2 linked regions of the Elephas maximus indicus genome follow. The protein of the gene in region 2 binds, or shares a complex with, the protein of the main gene of each other region. Links are inferred from orthologs where the notes say so. Each region holds a gene or a part of one and is shown on either strand. Other genes may lie near its edges.

Region 1 (9,918 bases), on a different chromosome or scaffold from region 2:
AACACAGACATGAAAAAGAATCCAGAATTTCCAGGGTGCTGTGGGTTGGAGTGTGTGCTCCAAAAATATGTGTTGAAGTCCTAATCCTTGATATCTGTGAGCGTGACCTTATTTTGAAATAGGGTCTTTGCAGATGCAATTAAGTTGAGATCATACTAGATTAGCTGTTGTTGTTAGGAGCCCTCAAGTCAGTTCCAACTCATAGCAACCCCGTGTATAACAGAACAAAACACTGCCTGGTCCTCTACCATCCTTACAATCATTGCTATGTTTGAGTCCATTGTTGCAGCCACTGTGTCAATCCATCTCGTTGAGGGTCTTCCTCTTTTTTGCTGACCCTCTGCTTTACCAAAGATGATGTCCTTCTCCAGGGCTTGGTCCTTCTTGATAACATGTCCAAAGTATGTAAGATGAAGTCTTGCCATTCTCGCTCCCAAAGAGCATTCTGGCTGCACTTCTAGTACTGAAAGAAGTACTAGACTAGGATGGACCCTAAATCCAATGACTGGTGTTCTTATTAAAAGAAAGAGATGTAGACACAGAGAGACAGACACACACAAGGAAGATGGCTATGCGAAGATGGGAGTAGACGTTGGAGTGATGCAGCCACAAGCCCAGGAACACTTGGAGCCACCAGAAGCTGGAAGAGGTAAGGGAGGACCCTCCCTAGAGGCTCTGGAGGGAGAAGGACCTACCGACATTCTGAATTCGGACTTCTGGCCTCCAGAACTGACTATCAATAGATTCCTGTTGTCTTAAGCACACCTCCCTCACCTCCCCCCAGGAAACAAACCAGTTGCCGTTGATTTGATTCCAACTCATGAGTACCCCATGTGTGCAAAGAAGGGCTTTCAAGGCTGTGACCTTTCAGGAGCAGATTGCCAGGCTTTTCTTCCAAGGTGCCTGTGGGTGGGTTTGAACCTCCAACCTTTCAGCTAGTAGTTGAGTGCTTAACCACTTAACCGTGTGCGCCACCCAGAGACAGCTTAAGCTGCCCAGTGTGTGTAATTAGTAACAGCAGCCAGAGAAAAGGAATACACAGGGGAAGAAGATGAGAGTGTCTGGCAGTTCTGAGGGCCCAGGGCTCCGTTTTCCCAGCAAACGCCAGTGCCTGACTGCTCTGGGGCTGGATGACCTGGAAATGGCCCAGAGCTGGCCAGGAACCTGAGTTCGATGCTTGTGATTTTGTGAACAGTCCCCAGATGCTTGTCCATTTCTGGAGAGATTCCCCCCACAATTTCCACACCAGGACCCCCCAGCTGAGGGATGCTCTGAGACAGGAAGACCCCAAGGCTCCTGAACACTCACCGCACCAGCCCCCAAAGGCACCAAGTTAGATCCCTGCTGCGGACACATCTTGGTGACTCAGGCCCGTTTATGACTGACCAGAATTAATACCAAAAATCATAGCTCACAGCCTTGAGCAGAGGGAAGAACATGGATTCCAGTTAAAAGGTCCCGGGCTCAAATTCTGACTCAATGTTGTGGATTGAATTGTGTCTCTCCAATATGTGTTGGAATCCTAACTCCTATACCTGTGGATGTGATCCCCTTTGGGAATAGGATTTCCTTTGTTTTGTTAATGAAGCCCTATCTGTGTAGGGTGTGTCTTAGACCTAGTCACTTTTGAGATATAAAAAGAGCAGAGTAGGAACAAAGAAAAAACTTATTGCTGTTAAGTCAATTCCAACTCATAGCGACCCATAGGACAGAGTAGAACTGCTCCATAGGGTTTCCAAGGAGCGGCTGGTGGATTTGAACTGCCAGCCTTTTGGTTAGCAGCCAAACGCTTATCCACTGTACCACCAGGGCTCCAGGAACAGAGAAGTAAGCACAAATGAAGGTGAAGATATATGACCTGTGACTATCACCAACGATTCAAGGAATGCTGGGTCTACGAAAATTGAAAAACATCTTCCCCCAGAGCCTACAGAAAGAGAGGCTTCCCCTACAGCTGGTGCCCCGAATTTGGACTTCTAGCTTCCTGAATTGTGAAAAAATAGATTACTGTTTGTAAAAGGCACCCACTTGTGGTATTTCTGTTAAAACAGTACTAGAGAACTAAGACACCCAGTAAAAAAATACAAGAAGGAATCATGAGTAAATGAATAAATGATGGACAAATGGGTTTTTGATCTCATTCCATATGCCTTTATTGTGATCTTCCCAAATGGCTAGCCTTGTCCTGCACCAAGGCAGGGCCCTAAGGAGGCTTCAGCCTGGTGATCTGGCCCCCAACGAGCTTCCAGCCCCGTCACAGACACGTCTGCCCCGTTATTTCTCAGAGCCCTAACAGAGAAAATCACAGGCTGCCTGGACATAGGCAAGGGAGCCAAGGGGGAGTGACAGGGATAGCGGAAGGATGCGGGGGGCCAAGGAGAGAGAGGAAGTGGACTCCTGGCCAGGGGCCATTAAACACTGGCCAGGGAGGAAGTTGGGCTGAACAAGTCAGATAAGCAGAGCAGCTGGAGGCTGATTCCACTTCCCAGACATTTCCCATCTCTGCCCTGATTTGCTTTGGATATGTGTGGAGACAGAGCGCTCACTCCCAAGAGAGACAGCCCAGACTTTCCTGGACATGGATGACTGTCCAAGTTTGACACAATATGATTTTTCGAGTAGTAGACATCAGTGAAAGGTTTAATGAGATTGGGAAGCGGAGGGATGCTCACGTGAGTCAGACAGTCAGTCACTACCACGGGCTGGATCTGGAGTCAGACAGAGCTGGGTTCAAATCTGGGCTCTGCCACTTAAGGGCCTGGTGACTTTATCACTCCAAACCTCAGTTCAGGTTTGTGCACAAACTGAAATCGGCTAACGAAGATCATTCCAAACATGGCTGCAGCAGTATATTGACAGGGAACTGCCAGAAATTCAGGCCAGTTTCAGAAGAGGACGTGGAACCAGGGATATCATTGCTGTCAGATGGATCCTGGCTGAAAGCAGAGAATACCAGAAGGATGTTTACCTGTGTTTTATTGACTATGCAAAGGCATTTGACTGTGTGGATCATAACAAACTATGGATAACACTGTGAAGAATGGGAATTCCAGAACACTTCATTGTGCTCATGAGGAACCTTTACATAGATCAAGAGGGAGTTGTTCCGACAGAACAAGGGGATACTGATTGGTTTAAAGTCAGGAAAGGTGTGTGTCAGGGTTGTATTCTTTCACCATACCTATTCAATCTGTATGCTGAGCAAATAATACAAGAAGCTGGACTATATGAAGAAGAACAGGGCATCAGGATTGGAGGAAGACTCATTAACAACCTGGGTTATGCAGATGACACAACCTTGCTTCCTGAAAGTGAAAAGGACTTGAAGCACTTACTAATGAAGATCAAAGACTGCAGCCTTCAGTATGGATTACATCTCAACATAAAGAAAACAAAAATCCTCACAACTGGACCAATGAGCAACATCATGATAAATGAAGAAAAGACTGAAGTTGTCAAGGATTTCATTTTACTTGGATCCACAATCAACAGCCATGGAAGCAGGAGTCAAGAAATCAAAAGACTCGTTGCATTGGGCAAATCTGCTGCAAAGAACCTCTTCAAAGTGTTGAAGAGCAAAGATGTCACCTTGAAGACTAACTTGGGCCTGACCCAAGCCATGGTATTTTCAATTGCATCATATGCATGTGAAAGCTGGACAACACATAAGGAAGACCTAAGCAGAATCGACGCCTTTGAATTGTGGCATTGGAAGAATATTGAATATACCACGGACTGCCAAAAGAAAGAACAAATCTGTCTTGGAAGAAGTACAACCAGAATGCTCGTTAGAAGCAAGGATGGCGAGACTGTGTCTTACATACGTTGGACATGTTGTCAGGAGGGATCAGTCCCTGGAGAAGGACATCATGGTTGGCAAAGTACAGGGTCAGCGGAAAAGAGAAAGACCCTTAACAAGGTGGATTGACACAGTGTCTGCAACAATGAGCTCAAGCATAACAACGATTGTAAGGATGGCTCAGGACCGGGCAGTGTTTCGTTCTGTTGTGCATAGGGTCGCTATGGGTCGGAACTGACTCCTGACGGCACCTAACAACAACAATGGAATAAAATGCCTGGCGCACAGTACGATCAGAAAAAGTGCAGTCCCGCGCAGACCTAGTGTGCTCTGAATGTGTCCCAAACCACATGTACTTTCCTATCTCTAAAACTTCTCTGTGCTGTAACTTCTGCCTGGCATGCTCTTGCCCCACCACCCACACCTGGCAAACCCCTACGCATCCCTCAACGCCCTACCTCCAAAATGAGTTCCTTTTTTCTGCTCAAGTCCCCATCCTGGGGTCTGGGAGCATCCGGGTCGTAAAATGGGAGTTACCTGAATGCAGGGACACTGTCCGGCCCGCAGTAGGCGCGCGGTCCATGCTGGCTGAATGAATGAATGGTCAGTTGGAGAGCCCCAGGTGGGGAGCCCCAGGAGTCAGCCGACCCCATCAACGCCCCGATTCCCAGCTGAGTAACTCCTCTCAGGGCCTGGGGGTGAAAGCGGCAAAGGGGGGCTTCCAGGCGCGGTCTTTAGTGGGTTCTGCCCGACCCCTTCTGGGGGCGGGGCCAGAGCCCGGCGCGCCGCGCCCGGATTGGCCGCAGGTGACGTCAGCGCGGCGCCCGCGGGCGGGGCCGGCAGCGATCTGGGCGGCGGGCGGTGCGAAGATGGCGGCGGCGGCGGCGGAGCAGGGGGCGGCGGAGGCGCCGTGCGCGCTGCTGCTCGTGGTGGGCGGCGAGTGCGGGCGCCCAGGGCTGCTGTCCTATGTGCTGGAGGAGCTGGAGCGAGGTCGGGCGCCGGGGGAAGCTGGGGGCCCCCGAGGGCGAGCGCGGCAGGGGCTGAGGAAGGGTGTCCGGGGGCCGCTGGGGGACGCCAGGCGGGCGCGGCGATCTCGGGGCTCCGGGGCCTTCCCCGCTCGGCCATGGCGCAGGCCTGGGCGGGCGGCCGAGGCCCAGCAGAGGAAGCAGAGCCCCAGCCCGGCTTCCCCGCCCCACCCGGCGCGGTCAGGGGAGGGGACACGGGTGGGGACACTGCCCGGCCCGCTCGATTGGGCAACGTGGGCAACGGTCCCGTTTCCCGCCCGCAGGGCCCCTCCTGGGGGTAAGAGGATGGAGGGGCGGGGCTGCCTCAAACCCCCGGGTCTCAGCACATCTTCCCCAACCCAGGCCGTGGTGGCCCGTGGAGTCCCAAGTTCGGGAATCGCCCCTGCCAGAACCCTGGAATCCGTTGCAAGCGGAGTCCACGACATCATGTAACCCCATCTTGGGGCTCCTGGGTCTCCGCGTGCAGATACGCCATGCCCGGGTCTCTGTGTTTGCACCTGGGGCCAGAAGTCCCCACCTTGGATCCCAGGACCTGTTAGGAACCCCCTAGGGACAGGGAGCTGCTGCTCCGCCCTCCTGGGGCTGACACAGGGGCGGGGTCCTGTCCCTGCAAGGGGGTGGTGACCAGACAAGGCTGTGTGCCACTTGCTGGGGGGAGGGGTTGGGGAGATGGGAAGGGGCTTAGGGAACAGGCACTTCATCCTGACCTGTAGCAGACAGAAGGGGACATCCTTGGGGGGGGGCAGGAAGGGCACCTGGGGGAGGCAGGGATGAGAAGCCAGGCCTGGGCCCCCAGGCTCCATTTTCCACTTTCCGTTGCTGCACACGATGCTAACTGGGGCGTAGGTAGGCGGCCTGCCCAGGTGAGGTGAGTCATACAGGTGTACCTGCATCTGCCTGGCACAGTGTGATGGCAGGTATCGTCCACCACACGCTGATTCCAGAGGGCCTTCCTTCTCCATCCCTTGGACATGTCCTGAGGCTCTGTCTCATCACCTATAAAATGGGGCAACAGGGCACACCCTGGTCCCTATGTCCTGGCTCATGGTGTAGCAAAAGCCAATGAGGAGAGGAACAAGGTTTAGTTTGGCTTGTTGCAAGGAGTGTGGGGAAGGACAGCAGGGCCTGGTGGGAGCTTCTCAGGGGGGAAGCAGTTGAAAGATGAGACGTGAAGGGCAGGGGGAGGGCAGTGGGAACAGCTGGTGTTAAGGCCCAGAGCTGAGAATAGGCCTGCACAGTGGAGGAGCAGAAGGAGGCTGGGAGCAGGAGGGGAGGGAGGAGAGAGAGGTGATAAGATGACATCCAGGGGGTTCTGAGTCTTGTCCTTAAATTGCTGAGGTGCACCATGGGTCCTGAGACACAAGCTCGGCTCTGACCCACCCCAGGCCTGCCGCAGGGCGCAGGAGCAGCTCAAGGGGAGGAACTGGGGATAGCTCTCATCCCCCAGGTGCTTGTTGCTTGCCGTCGGGTCAGTTCTGTTGTATGTGCAGAGTAGAACTACTCCATGGGGTTTTCAAGGCTGTGACCTTTCAGAATCAGATCACCAGGCCATTCTTCAGAGGTGCCCCTGTGTGTGTGTGAACTGCTAACCTTTTGGCTAGTAGTTGAGTGCTTAACTGTTTGTGCCACCCAGCTGTCATTTGCAAACAGTTAAGTGCTTAAGTATTAACTGAGAGGTTGGTGGTTTGAACTCATCTAGAGACACGTTGGAAGAAAGGTCTGGTAATCTGCTTGTGATAGGTCACAGCCTCAAAAGCTCTCTGCAACACAGTTCTACTCCGACACGCCTGGGGTTACCAGGAGTTGGTGTCAACTTGATGGCAACAGCCTGGGTGCTAGTTACTGAACTACCCTGGGAGCAGGGGCTGCTGACTTCCCTTCTGCCACCCACCAGGCATCCGGTCCTGGGATGTGGACCCCAGCATCTGCAGCCTCGATGAGCAGCTCAAGGTCTTCGTGTCTCGGCACTCGGCCACCTTCTCCAGCATCGTAAAAGGTGAGGCCAATGCCAGCTCACCTGTCCTCAGCAGCCCACAGGCAGGAGCTAGTGTATTCACCCTCATCTTACACATGAGGAAACCACGGCATGGGGGCAGAGCCCAGAGCCCTCCGAGGAGAGTGTTTTGTGAGGGGAGCAGCAGCTAAGTTGGGAGATGGGATCCGATGTGCGCACTCTACAGGGCCTTGTACACAGTAGGTACTCAATAGATGGGAAACTAAGAAGCGGTCAGATGGAGAAGAGGGGATTGCAGCCCCTGGGAATCCAGGGGTGACCCTGTGAGCAGAGCATACCAGGTGTCACCCCAGCACCTCCCCCTACCCCCCCGCCTGAAGACCAGTAGTTGAGTCACCCCTGGCCACCATGAGAGGGGAAGGAAGTGCCTGCCGCCTCATTGTCCTAGCAGGTCCTGCTGGCTTCCTGACCCCTCATGAGGGTGAAGAGTCTGGAAATCCCATTTGCTCCATGTGGCTTTGGCAGCCACATGTGCCTCTCTCTGCCTTGGTTTCCCTGCCTGTGAATGGGCAATATCTGTGCTTGCTTAGGGGTTCAATGATCAGAGACTGGCTTTGGTGGGCCTTGGCCTCCAAAACTTCAGGGCCTGGTACACGATGACTAGAACTGGGTTCTTGGGGGATGGACTAGGGTTTGAGTCTCAGAATCAGCCCCACTGTCCCACATGGTCCACCCCTGGCCCTCTGTCCTTGGCTCCCTTCACACTGCTTCTGCCTGGCGCTGTGCCCCTACCTGGCATGCCCTCGTTGGTCCTCCCTTTTTGGTCCTCCTTGGGCTCAGTGCCCCAGTGTGTAAGATAAGGTGCCAATCGCACCCTCCTACCAGGACTTTTGGGAGTGTTCAGAGAAAGCAGCTCTGATCGCCACGGAGCACCATGCAGTGGGGACTCATGGTCACTGTGGTCACAGTGTAAGGCTGAGTGGGGCAGCTCAGGGGCACCCCCATCCTTCCTCATTCTAACCCGGGCTGGGGGGCTCACGTGGGGAGGCGGGATCCATCCCCAGCTCACAGCCCGGCACTCACAGGCCAGCGGAGCCTGCACCACCACGGAGATGCCCTGGACACCCTGGTCCTCCTCAACCCGTCGGACAAGTCGCTTTGTGACGAGGTAAGGGGGTTTTGGTGTCCAAGGGGACAGGTGGCTGAGACCCTAATGTCATTCTGCCTGAAACCCTCTTCTTGACCACCAGCGACAGCACCCCTTCCCCAGGAAGCCTGCCCCTCTTCCTTCCTCCATGGTGATGGTGGGGCAGGTGGTGGTGACGGAACTGGGGAGCACTCCCAGCTCAGGCTCAGCAGGTACAGAGGTCTGGAGGGACACAGGCCACACTGATGTTGGTGTCCAGAAGGTTCCCTCCATGGCCCTAGTCAATGCCTGAACTGACTTGTTAATGCTCCTGCCTCGGTGAAGTCTAGATCTTTCTCCTCATTATTCGTCAGAGAGCAGCAGGACAGAGCCCTGGGGCACCCCATTAGAGACCCTCCGACAAGCTGACTGCTTCACTCAGTACGAGCCCCTGTGTTCTTGGAGGGGCTGCCATCCCAGCTCCGGATCAAACACTGATCTGGCTGTGTGGTGGGGACTAGGGAAGGGCATGGTATGTAGATTTGGGGCTGGGGGCTTCCCCACTACAGGGAGTAGGACCCTTCACACTCTGCCCTCCTCTAGCTCCGGAACTTTCTGCTGGATCCTGCCCCTCACAAGCTGGTGGTGCTGGCCGGGCCATGCCTGGAGGAGACAGGAGAGCTGTTGCTCCAGACAGGGGGCTTCTCGTCACGCCACTTCCTCCAGGTCCTGGCGGACAAGGAGGTGAGGTGTATTCTCCCCTCCTGCCATTCTCACCACCGCCCGCCCCCGCTCTAAATCCTGGCTCATCCTGTCTGGGTTGGGCAGGAGCAGGACGCTCCCTGGTTGTCAGGGCTCAGTCCTCTCATTCACTAAAGTGTGCTGCAGGAAGCTGGGTTGTAGCTTGGCCAACTTCCCAGAAACCTCATGGAGCATTCTAGATTTCGAGTCCCAGGGGGACGGAGGCAGACAGGGTCCTCAGTCTGGTTGGGGAAAAAAGGGCAAAAATAAACCGGCAGACCATGTCTCCATATTGCAGGTTGCAGTGGGCTCTGTAAAGTTGGGGAAGTTGGGGTTGATAACAGTGGAGGGAGGTGGGGAGTCTGGGAGGGCTCCATGAAAGGAGCTATGTCCCAGGAAGCAGAATAGCTGCCCTGGGCTGGGGAGGGGGAGAAGTCTGAGAAGCAGTGGGGAGAAAGGCGGGAGGGGAGGGCAGGCCAGGTGGGGGAGGCTGTTTGGTCCCAAGGGGGTGGGGAGCAGGTGAGGGGCCAGCTGGAGGTCCCCTAACTCTAGGTGTCCCCACAGATCGGGGAGCTCCTGGCCTCGGCACCCCCGCCGTCTACCCTGCCCACACTCACCATCACCTGCCCGACCTTTGGCAACTGGGCCCAGCTGGCGCCCAATGTACCAAGCCTGCCAGGGGCACTCCAGCTGCGGCTGAACCCGCCAGCGCGGCTGCCAGCCTCTGAGGGCCTGCGTGAGTTCCTGGAGTATGTGGCTGAGTCGCTGGAGCCTCCCTCACCCTTTGAGCTGCTGGAGCCACCGGCTGCCATGGGCTTCCTCAAGATTGCCCGGCCCTGCTGCTACGTCTTCCCCGGTGGCCTGGGCGATGCCGCCTTCTTTGCTGTCAACGGCTTCACCATCCTGGTCAATGGTGGCTCGAGCCCCAAGTCGAGCTTCTGGAAGCTGGTGCGGCACCTAGACCGCGTGGATGCAGTGCTGGTGACCCACACTGGCGCTGACAGTCTGCCAGGCCTCAACAGCCTGCTGCGGCGTAAGCTGGCTGAGCGTGAGGCAGCGACAGCTGGCAGCGGGGGCGATGAGGGGCTGCGCAACCTCATCTCGCCGGAGCTAGGCGTTGTGTTCCTGAACACAGGGGCAGCCGGGGACTCGGTGGTCGATGAGGCCCAGCTGGTGCGCGGCGTGGACGAGGCAGGGTTGGCACTGGGCCTGCTGGCCCGCCTGGGCATTCCACCCCTACCCCTGAGCCGTGGGCCACTGCCCACCCAGCCCA
Region 2 (10,597 bases):
CCTTTTGACATTAACAGAAAATCTAAATTGAGAATGAATGGGTAACATACAGGTGAGGAAACACAATTTCTTTCCAACGTTGGTTACGAAAACTCCTTATCTGAAAGACTATAACATTCACACAGTAAAGACCCAATGAATATTTATCAAACGAATATTTTTCTACAGATTTCTGCAGGTTTACTTTCCTTATAAATTTTTTTCACGATATAACACACACACACCTGAAAATGACCTATGCTTTTTTCCAAAAAATTTATTCTTTATATTTCCCAACAAAATTGGTAAAATATCTCACTAACATTACAAGTCAAATCAACATTATTACATACCTACTATGTCTGTACACATTAAGGATGCTACAAAACAATGAAATACCAAAGAAGAGTAAAATTTGATTCTCACTCTCAAGAAGTTTACAGTCTTGAAAAACAAAGCATAAAAACATTAATACCATCTAAAATACATCAATTGGTCTCAACCCACCTGGAGCAAAGGAAAATGAAGAACACCAAGGTCACACAACAACTAAGAACCCAAGAGACAAAAAGGGCCACATGAACCAGAGTCCTACATCATCCTGAGACCAGAAGAACTAGTTGGTGCCCGGCCACAATCGATGACTGCCCTGTCAGGGAGCACAACAGAGAACTCCTGAGGGAGCAGGAGATCAGTGGGAGGCAGACCCCAAATTCTCATAAAAAGACCATACTTAATGGTCTGACTGCGACTAGAGGAATCCCGGCGGCAATGCTCCCCAGACCTTCTGTTGGCACAGGACAGGAACCATCCCCGAAGACAACTCATCAGACATGAAAGGGACTGGTCAGCGGCGGGGAGAGAGATGCTGATGAAGAGTGAGCTAATTAAATCAGGTGGACACTGGAGAGTGTGTTGGCAACTCTTGACTGGAGGGGGGATGCGAAGATAGAGAGAGAGGGAAGATGGCAAAATTGGCACGAAACGAGAGACTGAAAGGGCTGACTCAATAGGGGGAGAGCAAGTGGGAGAAGGGAGTAAGATGTATGTAAACTTACATGTGACAGACTGATTGGATTTGTAAATGTTCACTTGAAGCTTAATAAAAGTTAATTAAAAAAAAACATTAATAAGTAAAAGGACATTACAGATTTCATTGATATTGAGTTATTCAAACTAAAAGTGCTACAGGAATTCATGCAAGAAAAAAAGGAATTATTGAACAGAGATCTACTGAGATGTAAAAATGCTTCCAAAATTACAATATTTCATTCTATGTAAGACAGAATTATTTGATGGTGATAGCAGACTTTCTAAAGTATGTGGATATTCAGCTGGGCTTTGAAAAAACTGCTAATAATTAAGTATAAAAAAAAACAAAAAACCCACTACCACTGAGTGGATTCCAACTCATAGCGACCCTATAGGACAGAGTAGAACTACCCCATAGGGTTTCCAAGGAGCGCCTGGTGGATTCGAACCGCCGACCTATTGGTTAGCAACTGTAGCTCATAACCACTACGCCACCAGTGTTTCCGATAATTAAGTATAAACAGTTCTTAATTATTCAAGCTCCAAAGGGGAGAGATTACTGTAGTGGTCTCAATCTGTTTGATCTCTCACATCTCACATTAAAAATGTTTCATTACCACAATAAAAAAAAAGTTTCTGGCATGAAACTCTTAATATATGCATATTTACGTGTAAATTATATGCATGTGAATACTGTGAATCCATACATTAAATAATATTAAAGCCTAGTTTCTTTCTTTTTTCCAATAAAAGTTAAAATGCAAATATAAATTCTAATATTTTCTTTCTGACTCCAATATATCATCTTGTGATGCCCTTGAGTTTGCATACTCCACTTTGCATGAATACTGGATATGAATACTGAAAACTCACAGATCATGCAAAAATACTTTTTATTCAATAGTTTCAATCTCTTCAAACATTAAACGTATTTTTTTAACACAGTTAAGAGGCAGTAGACATGAATTTGAATCTCAGTTTATTTTTCTCTGCCCATGACCTTCTCTAAGAATCAATGTTAACATGCAACACATTATTTAATACCCAATATTAATAACATATTATTTGCTGTTAGTAAACTTTCAAATTCTTCAAAACTATGTCCGTATTGTAATCTATTATAAAATCTGTATTCCTTTCCTTGTTTCCCTTGCCTACTCTTATTTTCCTACAAAAGTCAAATGAATTTCAGAGAATGTTTAAAATTGGAATATGAAATATATATATTTTAACTTCTTGTTAAAATTAATAAAAAATAATTCTGAAATTGTGTTGTCCAATTTGACATAAGACCCCTGCCAAAACTAAGTTAGGCAGAAAGGCAAATATTCACTTAAAATAAATCTGAAAAGGTTTGTCATCAATGTAATGTCATAGATTGTAAGAATGTATGTTTAGGAAATGTTTGTTTCTACCTAAACTATGTAAATATGAATGTATAAACATCATGATGTGTATCTGCACAGTATGCAGGTTTACATACAAATACAACATATATACATGTAGCTAGCTGAAAAACTCTTCCACATTTTCCTACTAAAATATACTGTGCATTTTGAGTAATTCATAATTCAATACTCAAAAGTTCATTTAAATATCCATATACTAGAACAGTTGAGGAAAAATATCTATTGCCAATAAAATGTGGGGTACTTTGGAAAGTAGAACAATAAATAGATTTAGAATTAAAGTAGCCAATAAATACTATGATTTTGCATACTATAAAGAAATAACAGCACATCTTACATTTAAATATGTGGATCAAAGAAACACAACTATATTTTTTAGAGCATCATTTTGGCAACACTGATTTGTAGCAATTATAGTAAAAATGTAAATCCAAATATCTAAACATCAAGCTGTAAGTTTCATATCAAAAGCTTGGCATACATAACAAAGTTAAGCAAAGTTAGGAGTGTGCTCAAAAAGCTTTCAGAAATAATGATTTATTCTTCTCTTACTTCCAATGAACTACTTAAATTCCTTAATTTTTTTCATATCCCAAACAGGCATTCAATTCCAGAAATTATCTTAAAGAACTAAGTTTTCTTAACTTCAGTTAATCGGCCAGGAATACATTTGCTTTCTTAGCCCTTCAAGTTTTTGTCAGAAATACTATTTTTCTCTAAGATCTATATATATTTGGTATGTTTATTGTCATAAATTATTTTGAGTAGTAATTTTCATTAAAATATGAAATATATATTCAGAAGAGAGAATATACATATAAGAAGAAAGAACTGCTTCTCTGTAAGTGTATTAAAGAATACTGAATGCAAGAACCCGTTCTTAAAATTTAAGTGATTAGAGGTCAGTGTGTTAGTTCCTTCATATAAAGACCCTTCGCTTTCAATTGTGTGTTTCTGTGAAGAATATGGGAAACGTATATTTCAAAACACTGTCTCAGCTTTGCAAAAAAAAAAAAAAAAAAAAAACTGTCCCAGCTTTGGAATGTAAACTGTATAAATTAATCTCTTGGGATAATTCATTTAAATTTTTAAAAATTGAGTTGAATAAAACACAAAGAGGAACATATCTCCTACACAATCTCTTTCACGTAGTAACTGAGAAATCAAATAGGCATAAAATATTTAAAGCAAACTCGTAGAAACAAATCTCACTACACTAACAAGGAAAGCAATCTCAAAAGCCACAGGCAACCCTGTCTGGACAGTTCCTGGTGCTGAAGTTACACAGCCGCGAAACCCAAGCCTGCGAGCTACTTTCAGTCCTCTCAGCCTCCGCCAAATCCCGGCCGGCTAGACTGTGAGCACGAACAGTAAAACTTCACAAGGTAGGAAGCATCCCAAACTGCAGCAATGGTAGGAACTGGAGTCTCTTCAGGATTAAACAGATTTACTAGTTGCAAACAGGAAGAGCAGCAGAGTGCAGGGTGTCAGAACCCGCCGAGGGGGAGGGGCTGGAAGATGGCGACGGCCGCACACCCACCCGAGACGCGACTGGGCTTAAGCCCCTCGCCCGCCGCGAAGGGGGGCGTCTCTGCTATTCTCCGCGTTGGGGGCAGAACCACTGTGAGGCGGCGCGGGACGAGCGGCCCCGGCGGCGCCCGCACCCCCCGGCTGGCGCACCTTCGCCGGGTCCGGCCTGGGAGCACCTGTGCACCGCCATATTGGATTCCTTGCCCCAGCCCCTGCCTCCGCGCGGGGGCGGCGAGTAAGGGAGAAGGGACGCGCGGAGCCTGGGCTCAGCCCCAGCCCCGCCGGGGCCTCGGAGCCGAACCCGCCCGCGGGGAGAGCCGGAAGGGCGCCGGGGAACATTCGCCACCCTCACCTCAGCCGGCCTCGGCGCCCTCCCTCCCCGACACGCACCCCCGCGCTCGACACCCAGAAAGCAGCCCCGGCGCCGGCCTCAGCCCTCTTGGCCCCAGCGCCGCCGGCGGGTGGGGAGGGCGGCGATCCGGGGCGCGCCGGCGGCCGCGGGGCAGCGGCCGAGGGGTGGAGGGCAAGGGGCAAGGCGGGAAGATGGAGCCGGGTCCTTACTTGAGCACGGACTGCTCCTTCTCCTCTTCTTTCTTCTGCCGATCCATGACGGCCAGGATGATTTTCCTCTCCTCCTCCGTGAGGTGGCTGAGGTCGGGCATCTCCGGCTGCAGAGGCGGCTGAGAGGCCGCCGGGGTAGGAGCCGGGCGGCCCCGGAGCCCGGCAGGAGCCGACATGTTTGGTGGAGCCGAACCACCCTAGGGAAACAGGGAGGCAACTCCACTGGCTGGAGCGGCGGCAGCACCGGAGCGGGCGGCTGGGGCAGCCTCCGGCGCCGGGACAAATACATACAAATCAATGGCCTTCAATCTGAGGCGACAGCCCCCCTCCGTCAAGACAGAAAGAGCAGGGGGAGGGGAAGACGCCTGCGGGGGGAGGGGGCTGGGGCGTGCGCTCCGGGAAATGTTTCTTCTTCCCGCGGGCGAAGGGCTGGCAAGTGAGCTGCACGGAATCGAGGAGCAGGAGGCCGGGCCCGGACGCGAAGTGCGCGAGGCGGCGGGGGAGGGCGGTGGAGTAAGGTGGTGGGAACGGCTGAGGGTGGGGTGACTGGAGGGAGCGGTGGGAGGGCGGCGCGCCGGTCGGGCCAGAGTGTGTCCTGCCGCTGCGGGGGGGCGCACCCGCCGCCTGGGGGGAGGGGTGACGGCGAACCAGCCCCCGAGGGGAGTCCCAGGAACCGGCTCCGGACGCCGAAGGCTGCGTCCCACGGGCCCGAGGGGCGCCGAGGCGGGAGCCCGGGGGGAGTGAGGAGGCAGGGATGAATTTCCCGGAGAAGCTGCTCCGGCGTCCCGCCGGTTGGCGCGTCACAGGGCTCCCCGGCGTCGCGGAGACCCGACCCCTTGAGAAGCGAAGGGGAGAAGGCCGCGGGGCCGGAGACTGCGGGCGGAGACCCCCGGGCTAGAGAGGGGAAGCGAAAGCGGAGGAGGAGGAATGATAGGGGCTATAGGCGGAGAGTCCGAGAGTCAGGGCCGCTTGGCTGCGGCGCCCGCCCGGATCCGAGCGAGCTCCGACGCGTAGCAGGGCCAGGTGCCGACCCCTCCTCATCACGCGCCCGCCGGGGGTCTCAGCCGCCGCCGCCGCCGCCCCTTGGGTCCTTGGAGTCGGCGCGGAAGGCCAGCACCCTGCGCCGCCGCCGCCGCTCGGTGCCGCCGCCCGCGCCTCCTCCGCCCCTTCGCCTCCGGGGCTCCTCCCGCGCGGGCCGCGTCACCTCCCCAGGCCCGGGCACGGCGGGCGGCGGCCACCCCCTCCCGAACGCGACCTGTGGGCTGGTGCTGGGCGGAGAGAGGCGGAGGGGAAGAGTCTGAGTGGGCTCCCGAGTTCGGAGCCCGGGATGTGGAGAATGTGAACGTGTGGAGGGCGCACGAGGAGTCGTGAGTGGGAGGGAAGAGTGTGGGGGAGAAGGCAGGTACTCCTGGGGTGTCAGGTTCGGAGGTGAAAGAGTGTGAGCTGGGGACGGGGAGGCACCCGAGGTGTCGGAGGGTGAGGGGAGAGTGTGAAGACGTGGGGCGCCCAAGGTTTTGGGGCTGGGGTCCTGGAAGGAGGGAGGGCCTGATCGAGTTAGATGGGGGCGCCCGGGGTGTCAGGGATGGGAGCGCCAGGAACTGGGAAGAGCGTGAGGGGGTAACCTGAGGGGAGGGAGTGTGTGAACAAGTGGTTAGCAGAGGTGCTGTTGCGGCTCCGGGCAGGGTGGGCGGATGATGGGTGAGGAAGTTCTGGAAAACAGGGCTAGAGGGATCAGAATACGCGGAGAGGTTGTAGGAGAGCGTGGAGAAGTGGGGAGGTGAGATTGGAGGTGTCAAGGTCTGTCTAGCAGGAGTGTGAGGATGAGGACGCCACGGTGGGTGGGGGTGGGCTATGAAGGAAAAAGGGCTAAGGACCACCCGGGCGAGGGTGAGCCAGCGCTTGGGCCAAGGGCACTCAACCTAGTCTAAAGAAGAAGTAGAGAAGCAGGGAGATCAGGTTAGAGTCGGAGTCTGATTTTTTGAAGCACGGAGATGGGCTGGGTGAAAAGGGGACGGAAAAAGAAAAAAAACGTTGCTATTGAGCCGATTCCGACTCGTAGCAACCCTGTCGGACAAATTAGAACTGCCCCATAGGGTTTCCAAGGAGCAGCTGGTGGATTCGAACTGCTGACGTTTTTGGTTAGCAGCCGATCGCTTAACCACTGCGCCACAAGGGCTCCGAGCATAGATGAAAAACCAGCCCTGGAACTGCTGTGACCGCCACCGCCTCTGCTCTCCGCAGGGCTGAGCGCCACCCTGACAACCCTCCCTGTGGTGGCGGGGCAGCGGTGAGATGAGGCCAGGCGAGGTAGGGGTAAGTCACCAGGGACCACCCCCTCTTCTGGGCGCTTGCTGCCAGCCCTGGGAATAGCGGCATGTCGGGTGTGTGTGTGTGTATGTGTGTACTTGTGCGTATGTACATATGTGTATACACACCGCTACCCCACCTCCCACATGCACAGTGTTCAGTGCCAGGCCAGATTATGGTATGAAGAGTAGTATAAAACCTCTGGGGTTTGTATCGTATTTACTTTCTTGGTGTGTAGTAAGCTCTTTCTCTCCTCCTTCTGTCCCAAGGTACTATCTGACTAGCTCTCAATTTAAGAGAGCTGGGGGACAGACAAAGCAGCTGTAGAAGTCTCTTGTCATTTCTAAGCTTAAATTTCTATTTTCGTTTTCTCCTACACCTTGTAATTGGGAAGAGGAAGGAGGGGAAAGTTTACTTAAGTGCAATTTTTAGTATTTATTTTTATTAGTCACCTGCTTCAAACCAAATTCTCATACTCCAAATAGCTCGGTTTTCATCTCTTTGGAGCTGAGCAAACCAGATGAGGTCATACAAATTCCAATTTATTTAATTTTGTTTTAGAGTTAGAGAATTTTTATAAATCTCTTATACAACCTTGTCATGCTGTGGGAAATTGAGGACCAAGATCAGCCAGTAGTAAATGGCAAAGCTAGGAACTAGAACCTGGATACTTTTACTCCAAGTTGAAACCATGGTGGTTTTCAACCCTGGCTACACATTAAAATTACATGGGTATTTTTTAAAATACCATCTGGGACCAACCCTGGATCAAATGAATAAATCTCTGGGGTTCGGACCCTGCCAGTAGGTATATTTTGAAAGCTCCACAAGTGACAAATGTATAGCAAAGGTTAAGAACTGCACTGTGCATTGCCACACACAGAAGTTGAGAAAAATCACAACTGAGAAGAGGAAAACAAACAAAAAGAACACTTTTAGAGAGAAGTAAATTTTTCTACCAAAATTGAAATGTATTATCCAATGCTATCCACAATTTTCTCTCACATGGAATGAGAGGTACCAGCAAATACACATATCTATGACTTTATCCTTGGAAACCCTAAGTGTCACTAAAATACGCTAAGTGCTCCTTTAGAAGAGAGAACAGAGCTAGAAATAATCAAAAGGATGGGTGGAACACTCTACCTCATTCAACTATTTCTGGGCCAGATTTGAAAAAGTAACACCACCCCCCACCCTCAGCCAACTATCAACCCAAGCAGAGCCAGAATCCGGAATACACACATATCAAACTGTTATAATAGCTTAGTTATTTTGAGTACATAAAATGTGAACTTAAAAGTGATTGTCCAAGACTGTGTTGGCATCTCCTGTCTGGAGGGGAGATAGGAGGGTAGAGAGGGTTAGAAACTGGCAAAATTGTCATGAAAGGAGAGACTGGAAGGAGGGAGCGGGCGGACTCATTAGGGGGTGAGTAAGTGGGAGTATGAAGTAAGGTGTATATAAGCTTATATGTGACAGACTGACTTGATTTGTAAACTTTCACTTAAAGCACAATAAAAATTATTAAAAAAAAAAAAAGTAATTGTCCGTATTGGATGATTTGGGCTTCCTTTACAGTAGTGGGTCACCTCCTGGGCCCTGCACCATTTTTCTGCCAGTGACATAGCATGCTGGGTGCTTGCAGTTGTGTCTCCCTGCATCCCCACTGCCTCTCACCTGCCTGGACACAGTGCCAGCATATGAAATACAATACGCATGAGCTGGAATCATTGGGACAGCAGACCTCTTACAGACAGCAGCAGAAGTGAATGGGCTTACTGTGTTTCTTCTTAACAGCCTTTCTGCAACTAGATGTGTTTTTCCTATTGAAGGGAATCCTTAGAAGTTAAAGTGTCTTAAAATCATCATCCACCTTGATCCACACTTTTTCGAAGTAAAACCTTAGAAGTTAAAGTGTCTTAAAATCATCCACCTTGATCCACACCTTTTCGAAGTAAAAATTTGTCACAGTATTTATATATCATATAGATGAAATCTATATCACATAGCCCATTACTATTGAGTCTATTCCAACTCATAGAGTGACCCTATAGGACAGATTAGAACCAACTCATAGGGTTTCCAAAGTTGTGATCTTTATGGAAACAGACCACCACATCTCTTTCCCTTGGAGCAGCTGGTGGGTTTGAACCGCCAACCTTTTGATTAGCAGCTGAGCACTTTACTACTGTGCCACCAGGGCTCCTTATGTATCACACAGAATTTTTAAGAGGGCTATTTTTCAAAGCAGCCACCCAATTTAGCATAAGATTCCTATGCTGAAAACTAAAGAAAATAAAATACCTTCAAAAGACGTCTATCTATGACATGACTCTTAGAGGTATTTTCTTTGTTCTGGTTTACTGTTTTAACATGTTTGTCACATATCACTGTAGTCTGTATGGCATTATATTTCACGCGGGCACGTCCCTCAAGTGTATGAACACATCTGAAGTTCAGCTAAAACTGTAATATTCTTGCTTAATTTTAGAAGTAACTTACCATCTTGGTCACTGAGTTCTCTTTAAAGGTCACAAACTAATCCCAAAATGCAAGTCCTTTCTGACTTCTTCTAGGCCAATGAAGCCTGTGGGTCTATATGTTCATTTTTACATATGAATAAGGGCTATTTACTTGTAATCTACTAAATAAGTTACTAGGAGATATGCCTAAACTAAAGTAATAAACTACAATTATCACTAGAATTTACTGAAGACTCATTCAGTACTCTGCTAAGAAATCTGGCTGTCAGTGCTTGGAATTGTGGCAACTCTCGTACTACACATACTTGGATGGTTGGCATTTCTACAGTTTCTAACAGGTTTCCCTGCTTCTACCCTTGTGGCTCTGAGTCTTTTCTCAACACAGCAAAAAGAGTAATCTTCATAAACGTTACATTATATCACTCCACTGGTCAAAACCCTGCAGTGGTTCCCCATTTTACTCAGAATAAGCACTAAACTCCTAAAGTAGCTTACAGGTCCCACATGATCTCTCTGACTCCTCTCCTACTACTTCCTTTTAGGCTTTCCTCTAGCTGTTCTGTCTGCCTGGAACGCACTTCACCAAGAAATTCACTTGGTTAACTCCCTCATCTTCAAATCTTTGTTCAGTTGTCCATTCTATTTAATACTCCAACCTGCCATCCCCTTCCCTGATCACTCCAATTTCATTTACTTTACCCTACTTTTTCTTTTTTTCATAACACTTACTCTCTCTGACGACTGTATTTTCACTCCAAGTTGATCATTAATCATCAACTTCCCTTAACTAAAATATAAGCACAGGACAGAGCAGGAATTTTACTAATGTATCCCAGGCAGCTAGAACAGTGTGTGGTGTTCCAATAAATTTTTGTTGAATGAAATTCTGGTTAGCAGCTTTGTCATTGTTAGCTTAAGCTGAGCAGGGGAAAGGGAAATGGTGTCCTCGAAAGAGAAAAATGGACACAAAGAAGTCAAGGTATACAGTTCCTTTAGGATTCAGCTCCTGCCTATCTCTCTAGCATCATCTCCAACACTACCTGCATGTACACCCCTCTCTTCTGCCATAATAGTCTACTTGCAATTTACTGAATATAAAGCTTCTCATTTCTGTGACTTTCTTTTCCTTCAGCTTGGATCTTTTTTTCTACTCCCTCTTCTATAACCTTCTCCTCAGTCTGATTAGCATCTTTGTCTTCTGCACCATATGCACATCCCTTCCTTTCTACTCCTTCCGCCTGTATTGCCCAGGCTCTCTCAGCAAACCTTACTCATAGATAGCACTTGCCATTC

The links.
Region 1: the proteins of RIMS2 (region 2) and UNC13A are in contact, whole or in part, in a crystal structure (PDB 2CJS), measured with the Rattus norvegicus proteins. The link is inferred for Elephas maximus indicus from reciprocal best matches to the Homo sapiens genes RIMS2 and UNC13A. Residues at the interface, in XP_063118965.1 of Rattus norvegicus: Asp102, Gly103, Cys104, Ser109, Gln112, Val123, Leu125, Ser127, Asn128, Lys129, Val134, Met135, Trp136; in NP_074052.2 of Rattus norvegicus: Tyr23, Ile36, Trp65, Leu69, Ile70, Trp71, Asp72, Thr73, Met74.

Annotation. Positions count from the first base shown.
Region 1 is NC_064821.1:37,741,321-37,751,238, forward strand, and holds the start of UNC13A (protein unc-13 homolog A), read right to left. Parts: upstream 4,555-9,918; 5' UTR 4,383-4,554; coding exon 4,337-4,382; intron 1-4,336. Other genes in the region: MAP1S (microtubule-associated protein 1S), read left to right, coding at 4,669-4,789, 6,719-6,820, 7,864-7,946, 8,508-8,648, 9,210-9,918. UniProt on the Homo sapiens protein: Plays a role in vesicle maturation during exocytosis as a target of the diacylglycerol second messenger pathway.
Region 2 is NC_064833.1:38,554,172-38,564,768, forward strand, and holds the start of RIMS2 (regulating synaptic membrane exocytosis protein 2), read right to left. Parts: upstream 4,688-10,597; coding exon 4,512-4,687; intron 1-4,511. UniProt on the Homo sapiens protein: Rab effector involved in exocytosis. May act as scaffold protein. Plays a role in dendrite formation by melanocytes.